4 linked regions of the Tamandua tetradactyla genome follow. The protein of the gene in region 1 purifies or fractionates together with the protein of each later gene. This does not show direct contact. Links are inferred from orthologs where the notes say so. Each region holds a gene or a part of one and is shown on either strand. Other genes may lie near its edges.

The links.
Region 2: the proteins of NCBP1 (region 1) and ALYREF purify together in Homo sapiens (affinity purification with western blotting; 6 studies listed by BioGRID and IntAct, with this or other methods). This does not show direct contact. The link is inferred for Tamandua tetradactyla from reciprocal best matches to the Homo sapiens genes NCBP1 and ALYREF.
Region 3: the proteins of NCBP1 (region 1) and LIN28A purify together in Homo sapiens (affinity purification with mass spectrometry; 3 studies listed by BioGRID and IntAct, with this or other methods). This does not show direct contact. The link is inferred for Tamandua tetradactyla from reciprocal best matches to the Homo sapiens genes NCBP1 and LIN28A.
Region 4: the proteins of NCBP1 (region 1) and PABPN1 purify together in Homo sapiens (co-immunoprecipitation; 3 studies listed by BioGRID and IntAct, with this or other methods). This does not show direct contact. The link is inferred for Tamandua tetradactyla from reciprocal best matches to the Homo sapiens genes NCBP1 and PABPN1.

Annotation. Positions count from the first base shown.
Region 1 is NC_135328.1:14,734,394-14,741,487, forward strand, and holds the start of NCBP1 (nuclear cap-binding protein subunit 1), read left to right. Parts: upstream 1-4,077; 5' UTR 4,078-4,501; coding exon 4,502-4,535; intron 4,536-7,094. UniProt on the Homo sapiens protein: Component of the cap-binding complex (CBC), which binds cotranscriptionally to the 5'-cap of pre-mRNAs and is involved in various processes such as pre-mRNA splicing, translation regulation, nonsense-mediated mRNA decay, RNA-mediated gene silencing (RNAi) by microRNAs (miRNAs) and mRNA export.
Region 2 is NC_135332.1:74,075,173-74,082,725, reverse strand, and holds the start of ALYREF (THO complex subunit 4), read left to right. Parts: upstream 1-4,552; 5' UTR 4,553-4,651; coding exon 4,652-4,888; intron 4,889-5,386; coding exon 5,387-5,518; intron 5,519-6,941; coding exon 6,942-7,089; intron 7,090-7,553. Other genes in the region: ANAPC11 (anaphase-promoting complex subunit 11), read right to left, coding at 778-923, 3,490-3,598. UniProt on the Homo sapiens protein: Functions as an mRNA export adapter; component of the transcription/export (TREX) complex which is thought to couple mRNA transcription, processing and nuclear export, and specifically associates with spliced mRNA and not with unspliced pre-mRNA.
Region 3 is NC_135328.1:199,796,801-199,804,711, forward strand, and holds the start of LIN28A (protein lin-28 homolog A), read right to left. Parts: upstream 3,001-7,911; 5' UTR 2,869-3,000; coding exon 2,838-2,868; intron 2,375-2,837; coding exon 2,190-2,374; intron 1-2,189. UniProt on the Homo sapiens protein: RNA-binding protein that inhibits processing of pre-let-7 miRNAs and regulates translation of mRNAs that control developmental timing, pluripotency and metabolism.
Region 4 is NC_135340.1:31,562,665-31,570,425, reverse strand, and holds the start of PABPN1 (polyadenylate-binding protein 2), read left to right. Parts: upstream 1-4,753; 5' UTR 4,754-4,966; coding exon 4,967-5,317; intron 5,318-5,428; exon of another isoform or gene 5,429-5,534; intron 5,535-5,680; coding exon 5,681-5,795; intron 5,796-6,485; coding exon 6,486-6,553; intron 6,554-6,845; coding exon 6,846-6,952; intron 6,953-7,156; coding exon 7,157-7,244; intron 7,245-7,332; coding exon 7,333-7,484; intron 7,485-7,761.

The sequences.
Region 1 (7,094 bases):
TTAACCTGGCCTCTCCACCATCCCACTCAGATGCCATGTTCACTCCAGCTTTGATTCCTTACACCTTTTTGTTCCTTTACACTCACTTCTCTCCTCTCTCCCTATCCAAATGCTAAACACCTTTAACAAGATTTAGCTCACATGTCACTTCTTTCACACATTCGTCTCCATCAGCCAGTGCCCCATCTCTTAGTCATCTCAGGCCAGGCACTCTGCTTTGGCCACCTGGACCTCACCTAGTCCCACACAGAAGCCATGCTTTGCACATGCCTTTCCCACCACTCCTTAAGGGCTGCCCCTGCCCCCTCTTGCTCTAAATCCTCGTTCAGCTCTTGCTTTAGTCTAATTATAGCTATACTTTTAACTATTACTTGCAGAGGCACGATTGTGTGCCTGACATAAGAACAGTGCTGAAGAGGCAGCTCTGACTGGAACAGTCCATGCCCCTGTGCCCCTGGAACTTCTATTCTAGTAAAGAGAGAGAAACATCAAATAAGGAAACAAATAAGCAAACATGTAAAAACCACATGCTTCTGCTGGATCCTCCTCATGGTCCCAACCTCTACGTGCTGAACTGCTCTATTCACACTCACTCCCTGGGTGAATTAATCTAGTCTGAAAGCTTTAAACTCTATTTGCTTTAAAATGATGCAGGTCGGGGGCTGGGTGGGAACATAGGTGAAACCGGCTTGGCCTTAATGAGCTGATGATTATTGAAGCTTGATAATGAGCACATAAAGGTTCATTGTGTAAGTTTTCTACTTTTGTAAATACCTAAAATTTTCAATAAAGAAAGAAAAAAGGGGAAACAACTATAAAGGAACCAAAAATTGTTTAGAACACTATACAGTAAATTACTCTAAATTTCTATCTCCAACTAGGACTTCTCCCTTGAATTCCAAATTCATGTAGCTGACTCTTCTCCTGGATAGCTTCAACTGGATGTCTAATAGCCTTTTCAGACACAACTGTTCAGAACCAAACTCTTATTAAGGTACTCTCCCTGGAACCAAACCTATTCTTCTCTGGTATTCCTTGCCTCAGTAAAACTAAATATATAAATCATTCTTCCTGTTCCTTAGGTGTGCTTTCTTAAAAGTGTTGTATACCCCAGAAAAGCAATGTCCTTTAACACAGATTCAATATTGTAGGGCAGAAACTCTTTTGATTAGATTATCTCCATGGAGGTGTGGGGTGGCCAACTGTGGGTGTGGCCTTTAGGTTAGATGGAAATATGGCTCCACCCATTTTGGGTGGGTCTTGATTAGTTCACTGGAGTCCTTTAAAAGAGGAAACATTTTTGAGAAAGCATAGAACTGATGTAGATGCTTGGAGAATAGTTGCTTCAGAGCTGACAGAACCAAAAGACCCAGACATTTGCAGATACAGGGCCCAGCAGACATCACCATGTGCCTTCCCATGAGATGCTAAGCAAGCCAGAACCCAGAATTGTGTCCCAGAGGAGCTAAGTGAAGGCCCACAAAAACCAAGTGAGGAACTCCCAAAGGAACAGGCTGAAAGCAATAGAGCCCAGGAGCAAGGGACCAGCAGATGCCAGCCACGTGCCTTCCCAGCTGACAGAGGTGTTCCAGATGGCATCAACATTTCTTGAATAAAAGTAACCTCTTGTTGGCGCTTTAATTTGGACTTTTTCACAGTCTCAGAACTGTAAACACATAATAACTTCCCTTTTTAAAAGCCATTGCATTTCTGGTATAATCCATTCTGGCAGCTTTAACAAACTAATACATCAGGCAACAACTTTGGCATATTTCCTGAGCTCTGCTCTGGAAATACAAGCAGGTCAAACAACTTCTCACCATCTTTACTTCCACCCCAGCTCAAGCCACCACCAGGTCTTGCCTGAATCACTGCAATAGCCTGACTGCCTTTCTTATGTAGGAGCCAAAGTATATTTTTTAATAATACACAGACTTATTTTTTAATAATGTCAGATCACCCCCCCAAAGACTTCTCAACTTTCTCAGATAAAAATCCAAAGTCCTTACCATGCTCTCACTACCTTTCTGATCCATACTTCTCTTTGCTCTCTTCTCTGATTGCACTGATCCCTTTGCCCATTCCTGAACAGGGCATGACAATATCAGATTTTTCCTTTGTTCACTGCTGCATCCTCAAGAATTAGAACAGTACCTAGCACATAACTAGTGCTAAATAATAAATACAGTATTTGTTGAATGAATGTCTGAGTGAAATAAAATAGCTATGAATGACCTAGTGGCAGGGCCAGCTAATTTAATTAGGTATCTAGGGAAGACCTAAGGACCTGATGTTTCAGCTGAGCCCTAAATGACAAGGAGCCAGCCAAGCAAAGATCTGGGATCAGAAACATTCAGGTATGCTCCTTGTATCTACAGTATGGACAGATGAGTAAAAAATATGGTAAGATATATACAAATAATAGGGGGAACAAAAGTTAAAATAAATTGAATAGAATGAAATACTAGTGGTCAGTGAGAGGGAGGGGAAGGGGTACAGCATGTATGAGTTTTTCTTTTTTATTTCTTTTGCTGGAGAGATGCAAATGTTCAAAAAAATGATCATGGTGATGAACACACGAAAGATGATACTGTGAGCCAATGATTGTAACCATGTCAAGAATGTTTGTATGTTTGCTTGTTGTTTACAATAAAAATAAAAGAAACATTCAGGCAAGGGAAAGAGGGAATATAAACTCCTACAGAGAGAACAAGCTTGATTTACTGGAGGAACAAGAAGACAAAGTGGATGGAGCAGTGATGAGCAGGTAGAACAGGAAGGCCACAGTACAGAGTCCTCCACAGAAGTCATTGTGGGTTTTAGACAAACGATCACCACCGTCTGATTCTCATCTTAAGAACCTTCTGGCTGCTGTGTAGAATTTTAAGAAAGCAAGGAATCAAGTAGGCCAATCAAGTTACTACACTTATTAGGGTGAGAGAGGACACTTGCTCGGATTAAAAAGCCAGCAGTAGTGAGGAGTGCACCAATTCTGGATCTCCTTTGGAAGTAGAACCAGTGGGGTTTATGGATAATTGCTATGCAGGAAGTGAAGGAAAGAGGGCTCAAGAATGACTCCTACCTAGATGTTTGGATTGGGCAACAAGATGGACGGTGCCATTTACTGAAATGGGTAGGGAGAGTGAAATTTCAAATGACCAAGGAGAGACAGATAAACAGGTGGGGGCTCACCAAGGCCGGAGGTGTTCATATATAAGTATATGCTGCGAAATGAGATTTTTAAAAGCCGACTGCCTTGGGAGTTACCGGTAGCGATCACCTTGCCGAAAAATGACACGGATTCAAGTACAGGTCTCTGAGGAAATAGCACTCCCGATAAAGTTGCAATTTTTGCGACACCTGATGATAAGCTGATCTCGGACCAGTAAGGACAGCCTATTAAAAATGGACAAATACATTATACTAACCAATGGCTATCTGTTCTCTGCTTTGTAAGACCCTATGTAATGAAAAACTTAGCCGTCAACCAATCTTAACTTTCCATTTGAAATTCCCTAATCGTTTCTATAAGTCGCTGTGGCCTGCTCTCATTGGAGACTCACTCCTCCAGTTTGAGATCTCTCTGCTCCAGCAGTTTCTTTAAAAAAAATCTGCAAGTTCTGAATATAATGGTGACTTAGTTTCTCTTGACAACCCACAAGTACTGAAAACGAATTACTAAAACGGCCAACAAGCTCCTTCTAACGCGCGGAGGCGAAACGTACAACAACCGAGGTGCTCCGAGCAGGCGGGCCTCCCCTATCACAGTGGGCGGCACGTGGGGCCCGCCTTCCGCCCGGGCAACCCCGCGTAGCCTGACCCAACCTCTCCGCACAGCTTCCCGCGTAGGCGAAAACCGGGAAGCGGTAGTACGTCGAGCACATACCCGCCAGTCCGGAGCCTTGCCGAGGTATGGGCTCACTGAACAGTCTCCGCTTAGCAATTGTCGCTGCTCACGGCCTTCAAGCCTTACAGCCCCAGCCGCGAGTTGACGTAGGGAAAAACGCTCACGACGTAACTTGGCCACGGAAATCTCAGTGGCCGTTAGCGCAAGGGCCGCCGGGAAAACCACCGAGAGGATCCAGGGCTGGGGAAAGAGCGTCCCGCCCAGACCTCCGCCTCCCGTCCATTCCTGCCCCGCCCCAGGCCGCTCGCAGCCGGCGAGCTGTACCTGAATGAAGCAGCTGCGCTTTCTGCGTGGCCCCGGAAGGACAGAGAGCGAAAGGCAGGAGAAGAAAGCAGCCGCGAGGCGAAGGAAAGTCGAGCAGAAGAGGGGGCTGTTGCGTGCCGTGCAGACACCTGCGGCCCTCCTGCAGCCGAGTCTGCTAGCCCACCCGGCCGACCTTCATCCTTGCGCTTCCGGGAGCCGTCGCCAGCGAGTGCGCCTGCGCGCCGGCGGATCCGCGCGCCTGCCTGCTGTGGTCGCGCCGGCTGAGTGTCCGACGGTTCCTACCGCACCTCCTGCCCGGCGTCTCGCCTCGGAAGCGCACCGACGTGCGGCATGTCGCGACGGCGGCACAGCGACGAAAACGACGGTGAGTGCCCTCGACCCGGCCCTGGCTGCCGCGCCCTAGCTTCGGCTTCCTTGGCCTTCGGGTCTCGAGGGAAGGAATGGAGAGCCCTTCTCCCCTGGTAGAGTTCGTACAGCCGCGGAGCCTAGGAGGCTGGCAGAGCGGGGGTGTGGCCAGGTGGGTTCCAGAAAGCGACTGCTGCCCGCAGCCCTCGCGCCTTTAGCCCGTGATTAGAGCCCGTGATTAGAGACCTCCTGGTCTCTAAAGACGCTTCAGGGGTTGGTCCTGGCTCTGCCGAGCAGGAAGTAGACCCGTGTCTGTGTCCTTACCTCTTAGATGGGCAGTGGCAGGGACACAGTGTCTCATTTTAACCTTCTAAGTTGGCCTTCAAAGTAACCTGAAAAGGCCTCTAAGGGAAACTTAATTGAAGAAAAGAAACAAAGCACTGACTCAAAGAGCTGATGAATTGCAGCCTACTCTGCTCCTGTACCTACCATCATCCATTGATTCAACTTTGTTCAAACTTTCAGAAAAGGAATCTTGTGTCTTCTCTCCGCTCAAGAGGTCACTAGTAAACAGACCCATGCTGTTTTATTAGGTTGTGAACTGGCCTTAGGCGTTTTCCATCATGTAATTAAGAGTGCTGGAAAACTAACTGGAGATCTTTTTGAAATTTAGATCAGGGGTTCCATTTCCATTGGGTGCTGTGCTCACAGAGATACTAAGAACTAAGACTTTTTCTAGTAAAAAAAGTAGAAAAAGATACTCACATTTCACATAAGCATTACAAAAATCAGTCATGAACACAGATCCAGTCAAAAAAACACCTGTGCTTAAATCTGTTTTAATATTTTAGTGAATCATTTATTAAATTGTAGAGTAATGGGTAAGAGACCAAACTTTGGAATCAGAGAGCTGATGGTTTCAAAGCTAGACCCCATTATTTATTTTGTGGTCTTATCCAGGTTATCTAATTTCTTTAAACTGTAATCTATAAAGTAAAAATAATGATAATCTGTTTTGGGTTTTGTGAGGGTTGAGTAATGCTTGACAGTGATGTTTATTTTATAGTCTGTTTAATGCTGAAGAGGTCATAAATAGTGGCACGTGCCAACAATGTAAGAAAAATGCAAAACAAAAATTTTAACTTTTTGATAATCTTAATTTTAATGATAATTCTCCATTATTGTTTTCTCTCCTTGAATGTTGAGCATTTGTGGATGAGGACAGACTCACTTGTACCTAGTTTTAGCAGTGAAACACCAGATTTCTGCTAGGGCATGGCTTGAGAGGTTATTCACAATCCATCTGACACCACAGGGTGCAGAGACTGAGTGTAATGAACTAACATGGAGACAAAGTAATCAGTGCCCAGACACCAGAGAAGACAAGCCCAGAACTCTTCACTACACAGGCACTGCTGTGTGGTATACTTTAACAAGTGACTGCTAACGTGTACGTACAGAGCATGGAAAATACAGTCTTTGTGTATTATGGATTTGACTAATCAAAAACTAATATGTTTGAAGTCATCTCTTGGGATTTAGAGAACTTGAGTCTATTGTTCTTCTCATGTTCCTTGCTCTTCTTGTGCTTTCTTTTCTCCACTCTTTCTTCTCTCTCTCCTTTCTAGGGCATCCAGAAAGGGAGGGGGGATGGTCCCAGAAGGCAACCCAGAGGAATGGAATGCAAATATTTAGAAAAATAACTTGTTTCTGATTATTGGAAAGCTTTCATAACTTTCTGTGGGATTTTGAACGTCAGCTGGCAGCATGGCAGCAATGATGTAGCTCATCATTGTCCATGTGGGTCTTGCTGCTGGAGTATCAGTACGCAAGTAAAGACAAAGAGAAGTAGAATAAGAAATTGATGAAGCGAAGTCCACAATGGTGGATGCTTTAGTAATAGAGGGACAGTTTATAGTTCTTTGAAATATATGAAATCTAGAACTTTTGTAAATTGCCGCACTATAGGTAGTGGTCAGTTGGAGTTTACCCTAAAATGGATCTGAATCAGAATGTTTCCCTTTTAGTTAAACTTCTACTTATTTTTTAAAATAACATGAAAGCTTAAATATTATAGGAGGCTATTTTAAAATCAGAATTAATACCGTTAGGATTAAATGGATACTTCAAGCCCTTCTGCATTATTGTTCTCGCTTATGTCAGCAATTGCCCTGACTTTCCGTATACTTGGATGCAGTCATTTACTTGACCAATATGTAATAGTGTCAGCCACTGTCCAGAATAATTGTCAAATAATTGGCAGTACTGCAAGAGACAATTTAAAGATGGAGTCTCCATTCTAGTATAGAGAGATAGGCAGAAAGCAATCAATCAAGTAAAATGCAGTGTATTGTATGGTGGTCAGTGCTGTGGAGAAAAATAAAATCAGTAAATGGGCTAGAGACAGGACCGAAGGAGAGGAGTTAATATTTTATGTAGCTGTTCAGGGAAGGCCATCTGATACTAGCATCTGATTGTGAGCCTGCAGGAGGTAGGCAGGAAAATTACATGGATTCTGGGGAAGAGCAGTGGTTCAGGCAGAGGGAACCTAAGTGTAAAGGCTCAAGGCCAGACCATT
Region 2 (7,553 bases), on another chromosome or scaffold:
GGCAGGCCTGAGGACATCAGCCTTCGCGCCGACTGGGGTGTCCCTTGCCCCCTCTTCACCCTCCCAAGGAGTCTGGAGTGGAGGGGTCTTCCCTCAGTGCTTTCTGTAAAGTCCCCTTGGGGCAGTCCCAAAGGCCTGGGCCTCCAAGTTTCTGGGCTCATGTGGGCAAGTGAGGCAGCTGGTCCCCAGGGGCCTCTTGCACCCAGGGTGCGCTGACAAAGGCATAGCAAGTACAAGTAGGGCACATATAAGCAGAGATCGGGGGCAGGGCCCTAAGGGGATGGGCGCCAGGGACATAGAGCTATACTCCCTGGCCCCAGAGGGCCATGCTCCCTGGGCCTCCTACTCCTGTAACATGCAGCCACTGCCTGACCCCTCCTGAGCCCCTGCACCCAGAAACCTCTAGCCCTGCTCCTCTCTCCAATGTGGTGACTCACTATGTATATTCATGAGGTTTCATGTCAACACAGAGGCCACAGCCACTCTGAGAAGGCAGGGATCCGGGGCCTCCAGCAAGGCTCAGGAGTTTAATGAGTTTTATTTATTGGATAAGTGTCAACACTGTTATGAAAAAAACAACTGCAGTTCCAGTCCTCATTTCAACCCTGACACAGCCCAAGGGAATTGTCCCCAGTGGAGACTGTTGCCATCCAGCCTCACAGTAAGGAGAATCTCAGAATTCCATCACAGAGCTCAGGGGCAGTCCCCGTGCAAGGCTGAGGGGGTAGTCCAGGCACAGGGCTGGGGGAGTCCTGGCGTAAGGCTGGTAGCTGGCACTCACTCCTTGAACTTCCACTCCTGGCGGCACATAGGGCAGTGCTGCTGCACCTGCTGGGCGTTGAGCCACTTGAGGATGCAGTGCATGTGGAAGCAGTGCGAGCACTGGCCCCACACCAGTGGACAGTCGTCACCGGGCACCTTACCTGTGGAGAGCACAGCATCAGGGAACCTGGCCACAGGGCATCCTCCCTACCTAGCCACATCAGGGCCAGGCAGGTCACAGGTGCACGACAAGCAGGTGTCAGGTACACCCAGGGTTGCCAGAGCAAACTGGGCTTAGAGAAGACAGAGATCAGGAGTGTTCTCCACCAAGGTCTGAAACTAACGAGAGGTGCAAGAGACGAGCCCCTATCTCCAGGAAAGGGCCACTCAGCGGTGGTAGGAGAGAGCACTCCAGCCTGGCCTGCCACTACTGCAGCCCCTGGAGGAGGTGAGTGTTCTCTGACTCCCAGACCTGCGGCACATGTGATGTCACAGGAGGCCATGCCAATGCATGAAGACAGCAGGTGGGCGCAGCTGAGCAGTGAACTGTGCTGGGCCAGGTAGGGAAGGAGGGGCTTTGGAGCTGAAAGATCCGCTCCCTAGGCAGCAGGGATCCAAGGCACCAGAAGGGGCTGGGGTGAACATGGCCCTACCCTCCTTCTCTTTTCCGAGTCTCCGGGAGGCCCCCTGAAAGGCTTGGGGTGAATGCTGTGGTGCTCGTCCCACACGCTGACCCATCACTCTCTCCCTCCCTGGCAAGATTACAGGGGGCAGGGGACCCTGTACCAGGATCTCACATTTCCTGGCCCCAGGGGGCCTTTCAACCTTCCCAGAAAAGAAGACTTGATGTGGCCTCTTTCCAGTTAGTTTTCCCTGGGACAGAGGGAGCTGCTACCTGGGGAGGAGGTAGGGCCACTCTGTCTACCTATGGGGGGCGGTTCATCTACATGGAAGAGCCGCTTCATCTGAGTAACACAGCCACTTGCCTCGGATACTTGGTGAATAACTGAACACAAGGATGACTCACACAGCACTAGTTTAGCTTGGGCGTCAAAGGAGGTCTTTTATAAACCGGAACACCTCTGGGCAGGACTGTGTACTCCCAAGGCCCTCTGCGGTGGGGGCAAGTCTCCTACCCCTTAGTCACTCTGGGTTTATAACAGGAGCTCGATGCTGGCAAGAGGAATTGCTGCCACTTTTCACATACAGGAGTCCCCTTAGACTTGTCATGGCACAAATTGAGACCCTGTGTCCATCATCCTCCATAGCCAATGGGCCCCATTTGCAAACTACTGGGCCCACGCAAAGGTAGAGCCACTGTAGTTCTCAGAACAGCGCCCTGTCTGGATGTGCAGGGCACAGGAGCAGCCAGCTGGGGTTCAGGATGGGCCTGCAGGCTCTATACAGGTGACTGCCACCACTGTGTTTGGGGCACAGGCTGCCCAGGCCTGCTGGAGCTTGCACCAGTACCAGCACAATCCACACCCTCGGGCACCACCAGCACATTTATGAAAGCTAAGCAGCCTACTGCCTTGGAAGTTCTAAGCTCTTGCCTCTTAAACTTCCAGAATCTTTGCTGTACCCTCTGAAGGGCAATTTAAGAAAGTTTAAATATAGCTAGACCACTTTCAGTTTAGTTGTTAGACGTTTGCTGTGATGTAGACTCAATCATCTCTTGATTGATGTAATCATTTGATGTAAATAAGATGTAGTGATAAGATCTCCCTTCAGCTAGGGCAGATAGGATCAAAGATAGGATAAAGTGATATTTGTACTAAATTCATTCATCTGACTGTCATTTTAAGAAGTAAAGCTCTATGATGTTTCTGGGCTCTTGATCGGCCCCAGAACAGGTTTGGTCACTGGTGGGGCAGTGAGGAGGGACTGCCAGCCCTATACACTCCTTTTTCCTTTCAGGGTCCTTGTCCTCCCTGGCCAAAGCCCTGAGCCTTGTTTCTGCTTGCTGTTCCTTTTGATCTGACTAGCATGTAAATTTGCTGGTGTGAAAATCTGCTCTTGCCCTAAACCTAATCAAATATTTTCTCTTTACAGAATTTAATGGAACAAACCAAAAGACATTACAAAGAAAAATCCAATAAAGTAGATTCTGCAAGCAACATGCCCTGTTTTTAAGTTTAAATGAATTGAAGAATGGTGTGGGGTTGAGAAAGGATTGCTCTACATTTATACTTGAAAATACTTCAGCAAAGATGTTAAAAGACACTTCATCTTATGAGTGATTTTTCTATAAACTTACAACTTCTCTAATAAAAAAAGCCAACAAACCACATACCTACAAATGGCAAGTTTTATAATATAAGTTAAAACTCAATAAATCTGACTTTAAAATAGAAATAAAGGCTATTCATTGTTAATTCCCTGGCGTGGGTGGGAGGGGGAGGGGATAAGGGGGTGTTCCTTATGCTATTTTACCTTTTTTGCTAGTTTGTTTGAAATTTTCAAACTAAAAAGTCTTAGATCTGTTTTTGTCTTGTGTGTCTCATTGCTGAGTTTGATTACAATAAAATGCTGCACTGGCTTTTCTTATAAAACTTTTTTGCCTCGATCTTTATAAAAACATGGGCCCAAACTGCTTGCCTTTTTTTCCTGTCACCTTTTCTTCAGGAAAACAAAATTAAAACCCAGGGATTTTACCCAGGTACTTTCAGGAAACGACAATGTCAGGCAAGTAGGCTCAAACAGCACTGCCAAGAGGGAGGCACTCACAGTCGGGACAGCAGCCGTTGAAGGCCATCCGGCAGATGCCGCAGTTCTCGTCATTGGCCACCCAGAGCCAAGTGGCCACGCCGTTCCAGCACTTGATCTTCACCTTCATGGCTGTGATGGGAAGAGGGTTACCTTGGTGAATCCGGTCTACAGAGCTAGAACACTAAGGCTCCCAGGGCGTGCTTCTCCCAGCCAAGAGGGCCCGCGCTGCAGGGGAGCAGCCACCGGCCAAGGCCAAGGGGAGCGGAGTGCCTGGCTTTGCACCCGGGGTTTCTTAAAGGTTCCTTTAGCCGTGTCTTTAGGGGCCCAGAGGGAAAGAAAGCCCTGAAAAGGGGCCTCAGCTCGCGCTGGCAAGGAGGGCATCAGACTTGGGACCACGGCTTTGGAGAGTTTGGCTTTGCCTCGCGTTTACGGTAACTACGGAGACCTGGACATTCACGAAAGGGCTGCTGCTTTCCTTAACGCCCTGTAAACAGGTCACACGACACTTCCAAAAAGGACACAACTAACAAACAAATGACCGTGGCTAACTTGGGGGATGGAGCCCCAAACCGCGCACGCTGTGAGATTTTTAACTCTCGAAAAGGCACAAACAGACGCATGAGTCTGTACCCCCGACCCCCATACCTGCCCGGGGCAACCGCTAGGCCCTGAAAGACGAATCGCTGGAGACGGTCGGCCGGGCGGTCCCGTGAGAAACGGCGGGGAAACAAGCCGCGGTGCCCGCCGGGCATCCGGCTCAGGACGCGACCGAGAGCGCGGAGAGCTCGGGGGCGTCCCAGGGGCCCCGCCCCCAGCCCGAGGGACGGGCACGTCAGGCCCCGCCCCCAACGGCCCCCGCCCAACCCAGGACGCCCTCGCCCCTTCCCTAACCTAATCCTACGCAACGCGGCCCCGCCCGTCGGCCGTTGTGGCGCCAGCGTCCGCGCGGGAAGGTATAAAAACGACAGCAGCCGCAGCCCAGCACCAGTCGGGCTGAGGTCGCCGAGCTGTGCGCCTCGCTGCGCACGCGCCTCCCCGCCTCGCGCGACTAGCCGCTCGCCGTCAGCCAATCGACAGCGGCTCCGGGGCCGCGACTCCGGAAGTCCCCGCGCGGCGAAGGAAGTGACGCCCCGGCGTGCTGACGCGCGCGCTCGAACCGAGGCCCGATTCCGCGCCCGCCATGGCCGACAAAATGGATATGTCTCTGGACGACATCATTAAGCTGAACCGGAGCCAGCGAGGCGGCCGCGGCGGGGGCCGGGGCCGCGGTCGGGCCGGCTCCCAGGGCGGCCGCGGCGGCGGAGCGCAGGCCGCCGCGCGCGTGAATCGAGGCGGCGGGTCCATCCGGAACCGGCCGGCCATCGCCCGCGGCGCAGCTGGCGGCGGCGGCAGGAACCGGCCGGCGCCCTACAGCAGGGTGAGTGGACGCGAAGGCCACTGGGGTTGCGGGGCGCGGAGTGCGCTGAGGCCCGGCCCGGCAGGCCGCGGGAGCGCCGAGTGGAGAGGGCTGGCCCCGAGGCCTGGCAGCTGGTCCCGAAGCCGGCGGGTGTGGTAGACGCCGGGGAGGTCGCGCGGCCTGGGGTTGGCCCCGGGAGGCTCAGACCTTCTCAGCCTCTTTGTCTCATCCGGGCGCTGCAACCTCATGGCGGCTGGGAGCGGAGGGAACGCTGGGCGCGGCCGCACCGGCGGCGGGAAGTTAGTTGAAGGGAACCTGAGAAGTTGCGCGGAAGCGGCGGGACCGTCGGGGTCTCGGGCCGGGGCAGGGAGGGAAGGGCCAGAGGCCCCTTCTCGGCGATTTCTCCCAGGGCCCGGTTGAGGAAGGGAGCAGGATCTTGGGATGAGCCCTGAGGGCAAGGAAAAGCCCTAGAGTGAGACTCACCGGTCTTTTTCTGTTCTATGGGGTTTTCTCTTTCAGCCAAAACAGCTTCCCGATAAGTGGCAACACGATCTGTTCGACAGCGGCTTTGGAGGAGGTGCCGGCGTGGAGACCGGTGGGAAACTGCTGGTGTCAAATCTGGATTTTGGAGTATCAGACGCTGATATTCAGGTAAGAAACGGAAGCGTCTCCGTGAGTAGTTCACCTTGCACAGAACTAATCGTGTTTGTCATGGGCCCTGAATCCTGTTCCCGCCTTAGGAAAGGAAGCCCTCCCAGCTGCCCCAGAAATAGCCACTGCTTCCGTGTAAGGGGCTGCAGGAGAGACCCTGCCCAGCAGTGGTCAGGAAAAGTTGAAAGTTGAATAAGTGAATCAGTGTTTGTTAGAAGATAAGACCTTAGTGTATTAGTTTTTGCAAAAACGTGTTTTTGGTGTCTGAAAATCCCCTGCAGAGCTTTCTACTTCTGGCTGCTTGCTTTCCTTGTTTTGTTGCTGTTTTAATGATCTATTGGGAGAAGAATCCACACACACACACACACACACACACACACGTTTTAACTAACAAAGTACAGAAGTAGGGTCTTAGTGGTTTTTCAGCTCTGTTGGCCTTGAGGCTTTCTATCAAGTATGACTTGTGGCCCAGTGGTACCACCCCCACCCCGTCCCCTGCCGCTCCCCCCAGGTTTTGTCAGTGGTTTGGTTCTAAGCTCATCTTTGGTTGAAGACTGGTTTTTGTTTTTGTTTTTTGTTTTTTATTGAACCTAAAGGAATTTAAACTTGTTTTTCTGGTAAAGAAACAGTTTCTTGGGGATCAGTCTTGGAGATGGCTGGGTCAGGGTGCTGGGCCTTCCTGGGTTGCATCTCCCAGAGCATGGCCATTGGGCTTTGCCGTGGGAGGACGGAGCAAGGCCGGTGAGCACTCACAGTGTCTCAACACTTTTTTTAAGGTGGTTTCTGGCAGCCACTGGAAACCGCTTTTGGTGACTCCACTTCCCGCTGTGTGCCTGCGGCCGGAGTAGCCCCACACTCTGGGTTCCCTCTCCAACTCCCAGCCTGCCTGAGGTCAGGGCAGTTTCCATGGCAGCGCTTGACTTCAGACTTTGCGGCAGGCTTGAGTAGGAGGAGAGGGAAAGGTGAGCCAGAATCTGCCTTCGGGGGAGGGACTGGGGTTAGGGCTCCCAAATCAAGGGGCCCTTCAAGCTGTCCTGGAATGTTGGGCAGCTTCCCTTGCTGTGTGATCTAGGCCTTCGCTGTTTCTTGGAACAGTTCTTGGGAGAGTTGTAAATTTTCTTTTGTCAAAAAGGAGAGCGGCTTAATTTTGTGCCCTTCACTTGTGGGTTCCTGCAACTTCCTTTCCCTGCATCGAGTTATAGATTTCAAGTCCCTCAGTTGGCAGGAGCCCTCAGACCCAGGTGCTTTGGAAGTTGCTGTCCTACCCACCCCATCCCTTCCCCCAGTTCCCACTGCCCTGCCCCTGTGTACATGGCTGCCTCCCAGGGAAACACCCCCAAAGCAGATTTCACTTCCAGGGACCATCCCTGGGACACTAAAGGGAAACAGCTCTGCTTACGAGTCTGCTCTTTCCAATTCCCAGGAACTCTTTGCTGAATTTGGAACTCTGAAAAAGGCTGCTGTGCACTACGACCGATCTGGCCGGAGTTTAGGAACAGCAGATGTGCACTTTGAACGGAAGGCTGACGCTCTGAAGGCTATGAAACAATACAACGGTGTCCCTTTAGATGGTGAGTTTGGGTTTGGACCAGTATGGCTGCAGGGTTGTACACGAAGGGTAGAGTTTGGGGGTGGCACTTGTCCACGCAGGGATATGGCTGAGCTCTGTGGCCAGGGACGCTTTGCATTTGCCCCTTTGTCTCTTCCATTCTACTGCCTTGCATGCTGTCCCTTACATCTGGACATCCGGAAGTTCTGGGAAGCCTTCTCAGAACTGCCATAGTAAACTTCTGAATGCAGGTTGTAGTCTAGAGACAGAGGTACCATTTTCCTCGTCAGAACCCTCTTCCTCCCACCTAGACTGGGCTGAGAGCAAAGAGGAGGCCTTGGGGGGGTTGTTTTTATTGCCTTTTTGTTCCCCTACCAGTATTTCCAGGTCATTCCCTTGTTGGAAGTGTTTGACACAGCACAAGAACCCTTTGCAGTGCTTGCATGAAGACCAGGTAGGGCACCCTCAGATTAGGCATGACCTCTA
Region 3 (7,911 bases), about 190 Mb from region 1:
CAGGGACTGGAATCACTAGGGCTGATTCCACTGAGGTGCGGTTTTAGGACCTACTCCAGCCCCAGCAGCATGTGTCATAAAGGCAGTGCTGCCAGATAAGGCTCAGAGCAGTTCCGCATATTATTGTCTTCTCTGACTGCAGTTGGGAGGTGAGGGTGTGCGGGTTAGGGAGAAAAGTACCTGATCCCAACTGTACCCTCTCCTTTTCAGACAAACTGTTGGGATCTACTCTTACTCCTTTTTTAAAGGCAAAAACGGATCCTGGACTGTCCAAAATATCTATTAGCCAATCTGAAACAGCCTGAAGGTCCCTGCTTCCCTCCACAAATGATGCCATCTGAGAAGTTTCCGATTATTCTATCCTAAGGTTAAGTCTATGGAGGCAGATCCCCACCTGCCCAGGAAAACCTTCCTCGGGATTTTTATATCACTAAGGAACCCCAAAACACAAGGGCACACCTTTCCTTCAACCCCGCCCTATTTAGGAGACTAGAAAATGTTGGGTCTGACTCTTATTCCAGCCTCCCAAAATTGGGGAAGCTGTCCAGTCAGTCTCTAGACCAGGAGAGATTTTAATCTCTGTGATCAAAGGAGAGAGTGGGGGAGGCTGGACACCCCGCTGAGGAGGGCCATTCAAAGCTGGTTCCTGTAATAAAGTGATTTAATGGATCTAAAGAGGCCAATTCCCTTCTTTCTCCCACAATTACTTCCTGTGGGTTATCATTCACATATGTAAATGAGGGAGGGGGGCAAAGCCACCAGCTTCAAGCTAGATGTCTGAAGTGGGGTGGGGGGGAAGGCAAGCATCCTGCAGTAGGCCATATTGGCAGATGGCCCACAGTCCCAATGTCAACCGATGGGTCCCCAATTCCCTACATCCTCCTCCCCTGGTACCCCATTCATCCTCAACTTCCTTGCTGCGGGACAAGCTTGAGGACTTCCCTGTCTCCAACTACCAGTCCACCCTGCATCGCCCTTCCCTGCCCTTCCCCCTCCAGGATACCCTCCCTCAGGCCCCAACCCTTAATCCCCACATCCTCCTTTCCCCTCCCCCACAGCTCCTCGGGCCAGCCTCCCTGCAGTAACCCCTCTCTGCCCGGCCTGTGTCAACCTTCAGGGCCTGGGATTAGAAATCTTCCAGGTCCATTCCCACACCTCCCAGAGTGGAAGAGACTCAGGCAACCACTTCCTTTCCATGGTTATTATGGGTGGCTAGTGTCCCAGGACCACCGGAAATGCTGCGATATCCTGGAAGGGGTGAGAGGAAAGGAGTCCAGGAAGGAGGAGGGGGACCCTGAAGCCTCTGGCTCCTTGTTGGAAGCCAGGAATTTTAGGACAGCAATCAGCGGCTGTCTAGGGCCATAAACACCAAGCAGAGACTAGGTCCCGAGGCCAGCCTCCCTCCAACCTCTGCCCTGAGACACTGAATTCCACCCCGACCGCGTCCCATTCTACTGCGTTAACTGAGCACTTGGGGTTGCAACCCAGCTCTCAGCCTGGGCCAAGAATCCAGGTCTTCTTAGGTTTTCCTTCCTGGTAGGAACTCTACAGGAAAGCTGCCAGTCCCTGAAGAGTGTGAGTGAAACCCGCCTTATGACCTTGCAAGCTCCTAAGTGGATCCTTCAGTGATCTGCCAAGCCCACCCTGACCCAGGGCTTGAGTTCTGAGTGAACACCTATGGATGGGGTGCATCAAACAGGGACCTGCCTTCTCAACCCCAGCCAGCTGGGTATGGGAATAGGTTTCCTCCTCTCCCTCTGGCCCTCCCAGTTCCATTCAGTCGTTACTGAAAGGCTCTGGGCGCCGAGTTCCTGGTTTCCGCCCAGCATGTGCTTGCTTCCCTGGCGAGTCCCCTCGCCCTCCCCCCGCCAGCAAGCACAATACAACCTTACTTTCTGCCACATGGGGTCACTTCCCTGCCCCCTTCCCAGGGGAAAGAGGTAACAGACACGTGGTGAGCTGGAGGGGTTCCCGGAAGGACGCGAGGGGAGCTCATACTTGCCGCTGCTCCCCACCCGGCCCCGGTGGCGTTATCAGGGACTCAGAAGTGGGGTGCCACGGCAAAGATGAGGGTCCGCAACGAAGAAACTTGGGTCTCCCTCAATCCAAGTGCGGAGTTCGCCCATCCACCCAGAAATATAGGACCCCCACTTCAGCGCCCCCGGCGAAGTTACCAGACTGAGTCTCACCTGATGCACAAAGACGTCCACTGGGGGGTCGAGCGCGACCCCGGCGCGGGCGGTCATCGACAGGAAACCGAACCCCATGCGCACGTTGAACCACTTACAGATGCCGGCCCCCTGCAGCAGCTGCGGCTCCTCCGCCTCCCCGGCCGCGTTCTCCGGGGCCTCCTCGGCCGCCTTGGTGCAGCCACCTGGAGATGGGGAAGGAGACCGGCCCTCAGTTGGGGAGCTCGGAATCGGAGGGCGCCCACAGAGACCCGGCAGGGAGACCCAAATGCCCAACCTACGGGTGGACATCAGGAGCCTGCAGCTACCAAGCTACCAAGACCTGTCCCGGCCGCCTCCAAGCGCTCCCCAAACCTATACCGAGACCCGTGGTGCCCCGAAAGTTTTGCTCCTCTTCTCACAACACGTTGCCCTTGGACAGACGGCTGGACAGTCCCCTCCTCTCTTCCTCCCACGCCCGCACAGCACTGGCGAGCAAGCCGCTGGGACACCAGGGTCCTAGCTCTATTCATGGCCCTTGAAGCAGAAGGCCGCGCGGACTTGGGAGTCCTTCGGGCAGCCTGGAGGGACACTTCCCCATCTTCCTTCTAGGTGGCTCCTGGGCACCCCCGCAGCCTAAGCTGTTCCCGCTAAGTCCCAAGCTCGAACCTGCAAACTGCTGGTTGGACACGGAGCCCATGGTCGTCGCCTGAGCCCGCGGCCCCGGGCCCCTGGTCGGGCGGCTGCTGGCCCCAGAGAAGTCCGGAGGCAAAGGGGTGGTTCGGAGAAGAGGCAGCTACATCTTCCCCGGCACAATAGCGGTGGGAGGGCCCACGGCTTTTCAAAGGCTCCCAAATTCTAAAAGACAATGACCCAACCCCCCGCGGGCAACCCCTTCCCCTCCCCTCCTCTTCTTTCCCCTCCCTTTCCCTCTGGCTCCGAGCAGCTCCGTCCCTCCCCCCACCGCTCTGGTCTCTGACATCTCTGGGGTGTCCCTGTTCAGAACCTAGAGGTTTGACACCCCCCTTCCCATACACATATCTGGAAATGGGGGCCGTCTTGCCCAAGAAGTCTTGGGTACCCCTCAATTTGTAGTTGTGCACTTTAAAGCCTCATTGGGGGTCCCCAAAGCAGCATACAGGTGGGGGATCTGGGGGGGGTACTTTTAAAACCACGTGACTGCTCCCACACACACTCACATACCACCCCCACCCCCTACGCAGATAATTATACATTCCAGAGAGTTGGGGGAGGGAGGTGTGAGCCTGGCAGCACTGGCCAATCAGAAACACAAACCACCTGTCAAGGGAGAAATGGATGAGCCCTCCCCCTCCCCCAGCCACTGAATGCCCCTCCCCCTCTCTTCTCCCCTCAGGCCTCTGAGCTGACCCGGCTGCTTGGCGATGACCCGCTCTCATCCCCCACCCCCGTGTGCTTAGATAGACCTGGAGTTTGGGACACTGGGAAGCCTGGGGAGGAGGAGCAGGGGGAGATTGGAGACTGGGCAGAGTTGATCTTCAGTCCTTACTCTCAAAATCTCTCTGTCTCTGACAGAAATTGAATGTGTCTCTCTCCCTGAGTTTTCCACTCAAGACTTTTTCTCAATCTCTCCCTAATAGAAGGGAGAAGGTGCTCCTAATTGATTCAACATAAAGAATCATCCCTTTTTCCCTTCCTTCCAAAATGTCTAAAGTTGGCCCCAAATAGCACTCTATGCAAGAGCAGGAGGACCCCAAAGAGGCTTGAAGTGTGCTTCTCTCTCCTCTAACTGCCTTTTCATCCTGTCCTCCCCTCCCCCAGCCCCAGCCTTTTCTGGGAGAGGGACTGGGTGGGTAGGTGGATGGAAGCACTTCCTCCTGTACTCTCACTCTTAGGTTCCCATACCCTCCCGTTTCAGAGTCACCATACTCAAGTGTATTCCCATCTCCGTAGTGGAATTGATGGAGAAACTGGAGTAGTAGTCTCCTAATCTGAAGAGGTAACCTCCCCTTCTAGGAAATAAAAGAGGGTCTGCTGGGGGGTGGCTAATGCCCCAGTCAGAGGTGGACAATGGCCCGGGGCTCAGAGTACAGCCCTGGCCCTGCCCCTTCACTTCCGGTGCTCAGTTCAAACTGGACAATGCCAGCTCTGGCCACTTCCCCTCCCCCACTGCTACAACCATTTAAAGGGACAGAGCCTGCATTCGGGGACATCCGTTTGCTCTGAATTCAATCTTCTCCAACAAATGTGGAGAATCTCTCATGTTTCTCACCTGCACCCTGTGCGTGTGTGTGTGTGTGTGTGTGTGTGTGTGAGCGCGAGTGAACGCATGTATTCTGGAGAAGGGAGATAGGTGGGAGTGGGGTGGATGGAGAGGAGGGCAAGGGGGTGTGGAGAGAGAATTTCTCTGATTCCTACAAGGAGCCTTTTTCAAGAGACTAAACCTTTAGTGTAAAGATGGGGGATGGGACTTTGGGAGAGAAAAAGGACAATTGTACACCTTAGCTACGCTGCCTAAAAATATATATATATCATTAGCAAATATTATCAACGGCCCATTCCCAAATAAGGACCCTAATTTAAATTTCCCAAGAGTTCTCCAAACGTCGGCCAAAAACCATGTTTATTTACATAACCCTCATCCGAGTCCTAGTGACACCCTTAAATATATTCACTCCCTGTACCTCTGTTCCTAAGATTCTATAGCAGGTGACTGAGGTCTGGCTAAAGAAAAGAGCGAACAATATTTCAGCACTCTTGCTTCGTTTGGTTCATTCTGAAGTGATATTCGGTTTCCCGGGCAAACGCAACCAGCTTCTCTGTCCAGGGTCCTGAGGGTTCCTGGAGCTCTGTCCGCGGTGCTGAATCCAGCCACCGCTCCCTTGGCCCCAGCTCACAGTTTTGAGAATGGCTTTTTGAGTTCCCATCTCCAAGTCTTTCCCAGAAAACCTGCTCCTCTTCAACTCCTCAGTGACACTGACATACTTGGATGAATGAAGAGGTTTTACTGAATGGCAAAGAGGACATTCCAAGCAGTACATGATTCTGTGAGAGCAGTTCGGATATCTTAAGCTCCTCTTAAGAAAAACGGGTAGAACTATTCATGTGGCTATAGGGGATGAGGAAAGAGGAGGTCATATTTTCTGAGTCAGAGAATGGCAGAGTAGAATAGAGATTAATCTTTTTCAAAGTTTTTCCTTAATTATTAACATTTTTCATAGAGCCACAGACATTGGAGTCAGATTGTCCTTATATGAATATTGGCTTCACTATTTAATCATGTGACTGGGGTAACTTCCTTAACCTCTCTATGCTTCAGTTTCCTCCTCTGTCCAACAGGAATAATCATAATATCTGGCTCTTGGAGATACTGTGAGAATGAACTTAGATCATATATGTGAAGGTGTTAGAATAGTGCCAGACACATAATAAGTTTTTAATAATAAAAATTATTACTATTATTATAGCTATTGTGCACATGCTTGTCTCTATGGTGTGGTACGCACTGACCTGTGTACTCCAGAGGACTGGGATGATTCATATCTTACTCATTTCAGCATCTTCTCCACATCTTTCCCGGTACCTAGCAGTGCCTGGCCCATGGAAGGCACCAAGAACAGTTTCCTGAATTGGTATTAATTGAAATAGTGAATGTTATTACAACAGTCATAATGCTTATTCTCCTAGGAAGTTCCTCTCAAGTCTATTCCTAGAAGAACTCTGGAGGGGGTTAGAGCCTCAGAAAGTTATATAAGTGGATGCAGAGAATGGCTTGGAATGGGACATTTGGCCCCTACATAGTTGATTCCTCATTCTCTGTGTGGAAGGTGAGGGCTCCTATCAAATCTTCTCCCTTTCTTGGTTTCTTCTCTCAGTAAAAACTTATTTGGTAGTGAGAACTTCTGGGCCAAGATGGCAGCTTAACAATATGCGCATTTTAGTTTGTCCTCCAGAACAACTATTAAATAACCAGAAACAGCACAGAACAGCTCCTGGGGCCATGTCAGTGACCGGACACACAGCGTACCCCAGTGTGGACCAGCTGGACTGGCTGCAAGCCCCCCCAGAACTGTGAGTTCCTCAAGCTGCAGCAGCCGGCGCCCCACCCCCACAGGCTGCTTCCCAGAGGGAAAGAAAAGAGACTTTACCAGCAGCAGTGGCTGAGCCCAATCAAACACCAATTGTGGCACTAATTAACAAATTCTGACTACTAAAAATAGGTCCCCAACTCAGGTGAACCTGGTCAAAGTGGAGGTCACTCATTTTAGCCCCGGCACCAAGGGGGCAGGGCTGACAGAAAAAGGAAAAAAAAAAGAAAGAAACAGAGGTTTTTGTGGCTGTGTTTCTACAAAGGCTTGACCGCCTTTGGATACAGTGCCAGTGCTCCTCAGGCTGCAACTGCCCCAGGCATAGGCAGAAGTGAGCTCTTTTGGGGGGCTTCTGGAGTTTGTGCCTTCCCCAGGGGAGGGGTGAAGCCCCACCCAGGTGGAATCCCTCCATCAAGGAATTCATACACCAGGGCTTGGTAATTTGAAGCCATTAAAACCAGCCTACAACCTCTCCTCTGTCTCCACCACACCCCCAGCAGGGAGAGTTTGTCAAAGTTAAAGGTACCACATCATGTTATGCTGGTGGGACCTGCAGGAACACAAGCACCACATACTGGGCAGGATAAGAAAAACAGAGCCCAGAGACTTCACAGGAAAGTCTTTCAACCTGCTGGGTCTTACCCTCAGGGAAAACCAATGCAGGTGACTCTTTTCTCCTGATAGGAGGCCAGTTTGGTCTGGGAAAATCTGGCTGGGGTCTATAATACCTATGTAGACCCTCCTAAGTGTGGCGGGAAAAAGGCACCATACAAGCAAGGCAAGAAACAAGAAAACAAGAACTGAAAAATTCTCCTCTGCTAAACAAAACTTAAGCTAGAAGTCCAGATAAAGCTGAACTGAATGTCAAAGAACAGACAGACAACAAATTCATCTAGCAAGAAACCCTAGGTAAAAGAAGTAAAGCAATCTCCAGAATAAACTAATTAAGGTAATTAAATGCCTAGAAGGCAGAAAAAAATAACGAATCACACTCGGAGAATTGAAGACATGGCCCAGTCAAAGGAACAAACCAACAATTCAAATGAGATACAGGAGTTGAAACAATTAATTCAGAATGTTCGAACAGACATGGAAAACCTCATCAAAAATCAAATCAATGAATTGAGGGAGGATATAAAGAAGGCAAGGAATGAACAAAAAGAAGAAATCTAAAGTCTGAAAAAACAAATCACAGACCTTATGGGAATGGAAGACACAGTAGAAGAGATGAAAAAAACAATGGAAACTTACAATGGTAGATTTCAAGAGACAGAACATAGGATTAGTGAACTGGAGGCTGGAACATCTGAAATCCGGCAAGAAAAAGAAAATATAGGGAAAAAATGGAAAAATATGAGGAGGGACTCAGGGAATTGAAAGACAATATGAAGCACATGAATATATGTGTTGTGGGTGTCCCAGAAGGAGAAGAGAAGAGAAAAAGAGGAGAAAAACTAATGGAGGAAATTATCACTGAAAATTTCCCAACTCTTATGAAAGACTTAAAATTACAGATCCAAGAAGTGCAGCGTACCCCAAAGAGAATAGATCCAAATAGACGTACTCCAAGACATTAACTAATCAGAATGTCAGAGGTCAAAGAGAAAGAGAGAATCTTGAAAGCAGCAAGAGAAAAGCAATCCATCACGTACAAGGGAAGCCCAATAAGACTATGT
Region 4 (7,761 bases), on another chromosome or scaffold:
AAAAAAAATCTATGGTGTATGCCAGAATATCATTAGTTATTATCTCTGGGTCGTGGATTTTATGGGTGATTTTATTTTGTTCTTTTTGTTATTAGTTTTTTTTTTATATCAAACATGTATTTCTGAAACTGTATTTTTTTAAAAGTTTGTCAGGTACAAAGTTTTTAAAAGTTAACCAATCAGAATGGAAATTAAACAGCCCAAGAGAGGATCTTTCTCATTTAAATGACTACCTACCCTTCATGCAAGAGCAGATTTAGGAATTAAGGTAGGCAGGGCCAAACTTTGCATTAGAAGGTAATTAATATGCTCCAAAATAGAGATAAGTAAATGCTAAAGACTCCAAGGTTCTGTAACAGTACTGCCCAATAGAAATATAATGCAAGCCATATATGCAGTTTTACATTTTCTAGTAGCCACATTTAAAAAAAACACAAAAATCTGATAAAACTAATTTTAATAATATATTTAACAATAAAAATATGATCATCTCAGTGCATCATTAATATTAAACAATTATTAATGAGCTACTTTGCATTCTTTTTTTCATACTAAGTCTTTGAAATCTAGTGTGTATTTTAGGCTTTGGTACACTTCAATTTAGGCTAGCCATATTTTAAGTGCTCGATATTGGCCATCATTTTAAACAATGTGGTTCTATATCATAGAGAATTACTGTAGCCTATACAATTTGTAAAGCAGGATTTAAAAACAAGGATGAAATACCAAGGAGTCAAATATTTATGTTGTCTAGTGAGAAAACTGTTCCCTTCTGGATAGAACTCAATATACTCTGACCTGCTTTTTTTTTTTTTTTTTTTTTCCATATGGGCAAGCACCAGGCATCGAACCCAGGTCTCCAGTTTGGCAGATGAGAACTCTGCCACTGAGCCACTGTGGCCCACCCATGACCCAGTTTTTTATTGTGAAATATACTATACATAGAGAAAAAAAGGAATAATTTTCAAAGTACTTTTTAACAAGTAATTACAGAACAGATTACAAAGTTTGGTATGGATTACCATTCCACATTTTTGGGTTTTTCCTTCTAGCTGCTCCAAAATACTGCAAGCTAAAAGAAATACCATTATAATGATTCAGCAGTCATTCTCATTTGTTAAATACTGTCTTCCTGTTATAACTCCTCCTTCCACTTGATCCTCTTCCCAATCTATAGGGGTCTTTGGGCTATGCCCATTCTAACTTTTTCATGTTGAAAAGGGGTGTCAACACTATAGAATAAGGGGATGGAATTAGTTGGTATTCTTGGAGAGGCTGGCCCCTCTGGGTTTCAGGACTTATCTGGCCTAGGAACCCTCTGGAGGTTACAGGTTTCAGGAATGTAAACTTAGTACATGAAACTTTTGTAGAGTCTCAGATAGAGCCCTAGGTGTTCTTTAGAGTTGCAGGAATGATGTTTGAGCGGGTATGGCAAGCCATTGTAATTAGCAATACTTAGCTAAAGCTTGCATAAGAGTAGCCTCCAGAATAGCCACTGACTCTATCTGAGCTCTCTTAGCCACTGATACCTTATTTCGTTACATTTATTTCTTTCCCCCTTTTAGTCCAGAAGGCATTGTTCATCCCTCCACGCCAGGGCCAGGGTCAACTCTGGGAATCATGTCCCCCGTTTTCTGAACCAATTTTACAGTTTAAATTCTCAACTCCACAGAATACGTTAATGGAAGATTAATACATTACCACCACCACCACCCCACCCCTTTTCTAAGAAAGCAATGGAGTTTCAGGTTTTCCAAAACTTCATAGCCATCTATGTATAAGTTATTACTTAAGGAGAACTATACTCATAATGGGTAAATCTCACACCCCTGTTATATATAACTTAAAAAAAAATTCATCCCCAGATGAAAACTTATCTCTGATGTTTTCTATTTATTAACAGGCAGGATGTTACATAAATCCTTCATTACTGAGGATTATTTATTCAATTAGAATTTATTAGTAATGGGAATACAAATATAATTAAGATGGTGTTCCTGCCTTCTAAACAGTCTGATAGGGAAGAATCTTTCTTTACAAGTCACCACTCAAATTTTTAAATGTGAATATTTGTTTGTAAAAGTCATCATGCTTACTTGGAAGTTGGAGTGACTTTTATACTTTAAATAAAAATAATGACTGTGGAAAGATCATCGAACACAGAAAACTGTAAAGAAAATCAGTCATAATCCTACTACCCAGAGAAAACCACTATTAACATTTTGGCATATTTCTTTCCTGTCTTTTATCTGCGCTTCTATTTTATGATCATACTGTACATACATTTTGTATATGGCAATTCTGCTTACCAATATATTGCAAGAATTTTTCCTTGTCATTAAAAACGTTTTGAAGGCATATCTAATATAAAATTATATTGAATGTGTACAGTAGTTTTCATGTAAGTCCACACTTGGACGTTTACATTTTTTCACTGTGATGAACATTTTCACTCACAAATGTTACTTCTTTAGAACAGATTATAAGAATTACTGGGTTAAGAGTCTCAACACTTAAAAAACTGGGTACATATTGCTAATGTACCTTTTTATTTCTATGGAGTTTTTCAGAAAATCATACTTTATATACAATTTTACATTTTACCACTTTGGCCTAACAAAAATATTTTTTGTATGTTATCACACACTGTGTGTAAATCTTTTAATAGGTAGATAATAATCTTTGATTAGATATAATCATGGTTTACTTAAACGTTGTCTGTTACTGGAATTTAGTCGTTTTCCAATTTTCAGTATTACATATAATGTGATTTTTGCATATTAAAGTAAACCATAGAGTAGTTATGATTTGAGCTTAGAAAGTTGGCCTTGAATTCCTTGCTCACTCCTAAATAGCTTCATGATTGGACAAGATACTTTTCTTTAAAGCTTCTTCTCTAAAAAAAAAAAAGAGTATAGTTTTGGAAGCATCTACTTGACAGGGTTGTTTTAAAATTCAATGAGATAATATATTAAGAAGCCTAATGTGATGCCTGTTAACAAAATGAAATGCTGAACAAAAACAGGATTCAAAAGCATTTAAAAAAAAAAAAAAACCACCACACTTCCTATGGTTGGCTTGATTACTTAAGTCAGGCACCAATAAACGCCCAGGTCTTGATTAGATTTAAGTCAGGCACCAATAAGCGCCCAGGTCTTGATTAGATTAAGTTCAATATAAAAGACCTTTCTTTCAGCAAAATTGCAGTGGTTTAGAGCCTGTCTTCGGTGCTCAACTTCAGTTCTCTTAGATCGCCGATGGATGACGAAGTAATTTTAAGCACTTTAAGCAACTGTGATTATGCCTCAAGTCCTCCAGATCCTGAGGTAAGGATTCGCGAGAAATAGCGGGGGTGAACGGAAGGGTGGGGTGTACTGAGAAGCTTTTAGATTTCGTTCGCTAATAGGGCTATCCTCCTCTCCCAGTCCTCCCTACCGACCACCACCCCGCACATCTCATGGGGCTTGTTTAATGTTTTGGGGGGTTCATGTGAATCCAACTCTCAAACGGTGGCTTGGTCCTACTATCAAAACATCTCTTTCAAACTTAGCACTGAGCACCTTACTCACTGCTGAAATGTAGCCACCCTGCCTTCAGGGCTGGTGTCCTGGTGTCGTTGGTCACTGGGGGCGCAGCAGTAAGGTGATACTTTGCCTGGAGAACTTCTGGAGTCTGAAGGAGGGCTTGGGGTCAGGAAAGCGCTGAAGATTCAGGGTCGCACCCAGACTCCAAATAATGCATCCTTCGGTCGATAAATATTTATTGGACTTCATATTGTGCTATTTATGGTAATAGGTGGTGGACAAACGAATATAAATAGGATCTAGCCCCTCATCTCCAGGAGCTCACAACATAAAAAACGCAAAGGGACCTAACACGTAGTGGAGGTAGGCCCCCTTGCCGTGGGAGAAGAGAAGCAGGGGAAGGCGTCCTAGTAGAGGTGATGCTAGGATTTGCTGTGGGTTTGGAGACAAGACTGTACAGAGGAACACACCTGGGTGCAGGTACACCCACGGAACAAAGAGTGAAATAACCGGGTTCTGAGGGTCTCCAAGTTCGCGGTAAGGAGTAGAGACTACCTGGCCAGCTCGGTCTGAAAGTGGTACGGGTTATAGGTATGACACCGGAAGCCGAAAGACCCGTTTGCGGCTGACACAAACCGTCCAGGCAAGAGAAGAAACAAGATAAAACCAGGGTCGTGAGTTTAGAAAGGAGGCCTAACCAGGAGGCAGAACTCTCAGGTCTTGTGACAGGTGAATGGTAATGCCAATAATCTGAATGGGAAAAGTCAGCTCTCTCCTGGACTGTTCCATTCAGAAACCGCCACTTTCAGCAATCTCCCAACTACTGGTACTTCCTGGATAGGACACTAATTTCCAGAAGCCGCCGCTGTGTTTCCGGCCTCTGCCTTCCAACAGCTCGTTTGGCAACCAATAGAATAAAGATGGCGTCTCCCTAAGAGACTAGGTCATGTGACATCGCTTTTCCCTGGCTTAAGGCTGGCAGTCCGTTTGGGGTCAAGGTTCACCTAGTAGATAGCTGGTGTCAGCCCTTCGAATTTCACAAGCCAATGACATCTGAAACCAGGACACCGCGGGGGGCGATGGGCAGATTGGTTCGTTCCACCTCTCCTAGCTAGGGGCCAATCACAGAGCGCCGTACACTCCGCGGGCCCTCCGGTGGGCGGGGGAGAAGCAGGAAGGTCGTCACAGCGTAGTGGTATTGTTACCTAAGGACTTGAGAGGAGGTGGGATGTATGTTGATTGACAGACGGATTTCTCCTACCGGAATTAGAGAATTTGGCGCAGTGCTCCGCCTTAGAGGTGGGGTCTTATTTGATTGCCAAGTAATATTCCCCAATGGACTCCTAGCTCGTGGTGACGGGCAGGCCGCTTAACTAATGAATTCTCGGCGTGGCCGGCGCAGCTCTCCAATCGCCGGGCGGCGGGCCCCAGTCTGAGCGGCGATGGCGGCGGCGGCGGCGGCGGCAGCAGCAGCGGTGGCTGCGGGCGGTCGGGGCTCCGGGCCGGGGCGGCGGCGCCATCTTGTGCCCGGGGCCGGTGGGGAGGCCGGGGAGGGGGCCCCGGGGGGCGCAGGGGACTACGGGAACGGCCTGGAGTCGGAGGAACTGGAGCCTGGGGAGCTGCTGCTGGAGCCCGAGCCAGAGCCCGAGCCCGAAGAGGAGCCGCCCCGGCCCCGCGCCCCCCCGGGAGCTCCGGGCCCTGGGCCTGGCTCGGGAGCCCCCGGCAGCCAGGAGGAGGAGGAGGAGCCGGGACTGGTCGAGGGTGACCCGGGGGACGGCGCCATTGAGGACCCGGTGAGGGAAGGAGGGCGAGAGACCGAACCGGCGACCGGCCGGCCGGGTCATGGGAGGCCCAGAGCTCGGGCGAGTGGGAGGCAGGCGGGGGATGGGGGTGGGGGTGGGCGGGGAATAATGTAGCTGGGGCCGGACCGGGGAAGGCTCCTTCACCACCGGAGGGGCCCGTCGGGGTTGATTTCGGGCGTCATGGGTGCTTAGTGTTGTTCTAGAGAAGGTAGCTTGCTTATCTTTTCATCACGACCCCGCGTGGGAAGAGGGAAATGGCGAGCAGGACTGGGGCTGAGCGCTTACCGAGAAAAGGGTTTAGCATCCTGCATTGGTTCCTCTTAAGCTGTTCATACCCCTCCCTACTTATTGTAGGAGCTGGAAGCGATCAAAGCTCGTGTCAGAGAGATGGAGGAAGAAGCTGAGAAGCTGAAGGAGCTGCAGAACGAGGTAGAGAAGCAGATGAATATGAGTCCACCTCCAGGCAATGGTGAGTAACTGGTGGCTGCACGCGGAGCCCGCGTCCTCGGGTTGAAAAGATGTGTGGAGTACGTATGGCATTAGATGCTGCGGGTCTTGGAGCTCGTTTCTGAGCAGTTGATGGGCAGAGGCCGCGGTTATTGCTAATTTATGTGTTCCTCTGACCTTTGTGAAACAGATCCTATGTTTGGTTGATGGTAGTCTTGTGCTTTTCTTTGTCTTTGTTATAAATATGTTGCCCTTTGTTCTTAGTCTATCTTTATTCTTTGTGAAGGTTGCCAGCTGGCATTTGACCTTCAAGTCAAGGGGTTCTTCCTTCACTTGGGGACCCTTTAGTTAGTAGACGTTCTAAACGATTTCTGCTTAGCTGCAGGGGTCTTCCCCTTTGTAATCTAGAAATGTAGACTCTCATCTTAATTTCTTTAACTCCTTTTCAATAGGGACTTGATGTATAGGGGTGGTGGTGGTGGGGAATTCTTGTTCTCTCTGATTTTTAATAATGTATTTATTATTAGTCACATTTTTAGTGGCCACCCACTATGTTTTTGGCCCTGTTCTGGGTAATGGGTACAGCAGGAAACAGAACAAACTCAAATCTTTGCCTTCACTGAGCTTATATTCTAATAGTGATAGAGGGTCAGAGGATAATAGATTGGTAGAGTAGAAAAGAAGTGTGTTTTCTAATTGTCTTTTTTCAAAGCTGGCCCAGTGATCATGTCCATTGAAGAGAAGATGGAGGCTGATGCTCGTTCCATTTATGTTGGCAATGTATGTAGTAGGGCCCTGATTGTAGTTGGGGGAAGCTCTAATTTGTGGGAGTTACTTAATGGAAGTCTTTTGAAAAGAACATCTCCAGGATAGGAGTGGGAGGAAGTAAAAATTAATGATCAGCAAGGCCTCTGGGGTTGAGAGAAAAGGGGATTAGTTCCTTAGAGAAACAGATTTGATGTGCCTCGCTGTAAATGTATGGCCCCAACCAGAAGGTGAGGCAGTATGCTGAGATGGGAGTTGGAGTTTGCCCAGTTCCTGTGAAACATTGTCTCTCTCCTGTCCCCCTCAGGTGGACTATGGTGCGACAGCAGAAGAGCTGGAAGCACACTTTCATGGCTGTGGTTCAGTCAACCGTGTTACTATACTTTGTGACAAATTCAGTGGCCATCCCAAAGGGTAAGTAGGGAAGTAAATTGAGATCATTTTAATCATAGTTTAAAAATAAATATTGAACAATAAGTCACTTGCTGTTAAAACCTAGGGGTCTTTGTCCTAAATGTAAACACATTGAGTCCAAATAAAGTACATCAGCAAGTTGAATTTGACGTACAAGTTGCTGTTTGCAGCTTCAGAGAGCTAAAGTGACAATAACCTTTTCAGGTTTGCGTATATAGAGTTCTCAGACAAAGAGTCAGTGAGGACCTCCCTGGCCTTAGATGAGTCCCTTTTTAGAGGAAGACAAATCAAGGTAAGCACCATGCATAATGCTGTTCAGGTTGCGGAAACTTGGCACGTTGTCTGACCTGGGCTTTTTGTGGTACATCCCACAACGACAGGTGATCCCCAAACGAACCAACAGACCAGGCATCAGCACAACAGACCGGGGTTTCCCCAGAGCCCGCTACCGTGCCCGGACCACCAACTACAACAGTTCCCGTTCTCGGTTCTACAGTGGTTTCAACAGCAGGCCCCGGGGTCGTGTCTACAGGTCAGGATAGATGGGCTGCTCCTCTCTCCCCGCCTCCCATGAGCCCTGTATGCTTCCGTCTCTCATGATAGGAGGAGCTTCCCTCCCTTCCCCTCCCGTTGGTCTCCAGGGCCTTGGTCTCCTGCCTATGCAGAGTGAGGAAGGTAGTTGAAGGGAAGGCCAGTCTCGTCTTTTCTGGAGCAGGAATTGTGGTATTAAGGGCTGGATCTCTCCACTCTGTTGCGAGAGATGCTTTCTCCCCCTAGACTTTTCTGGTTTTTTTGAAAGTGGGTAGAAT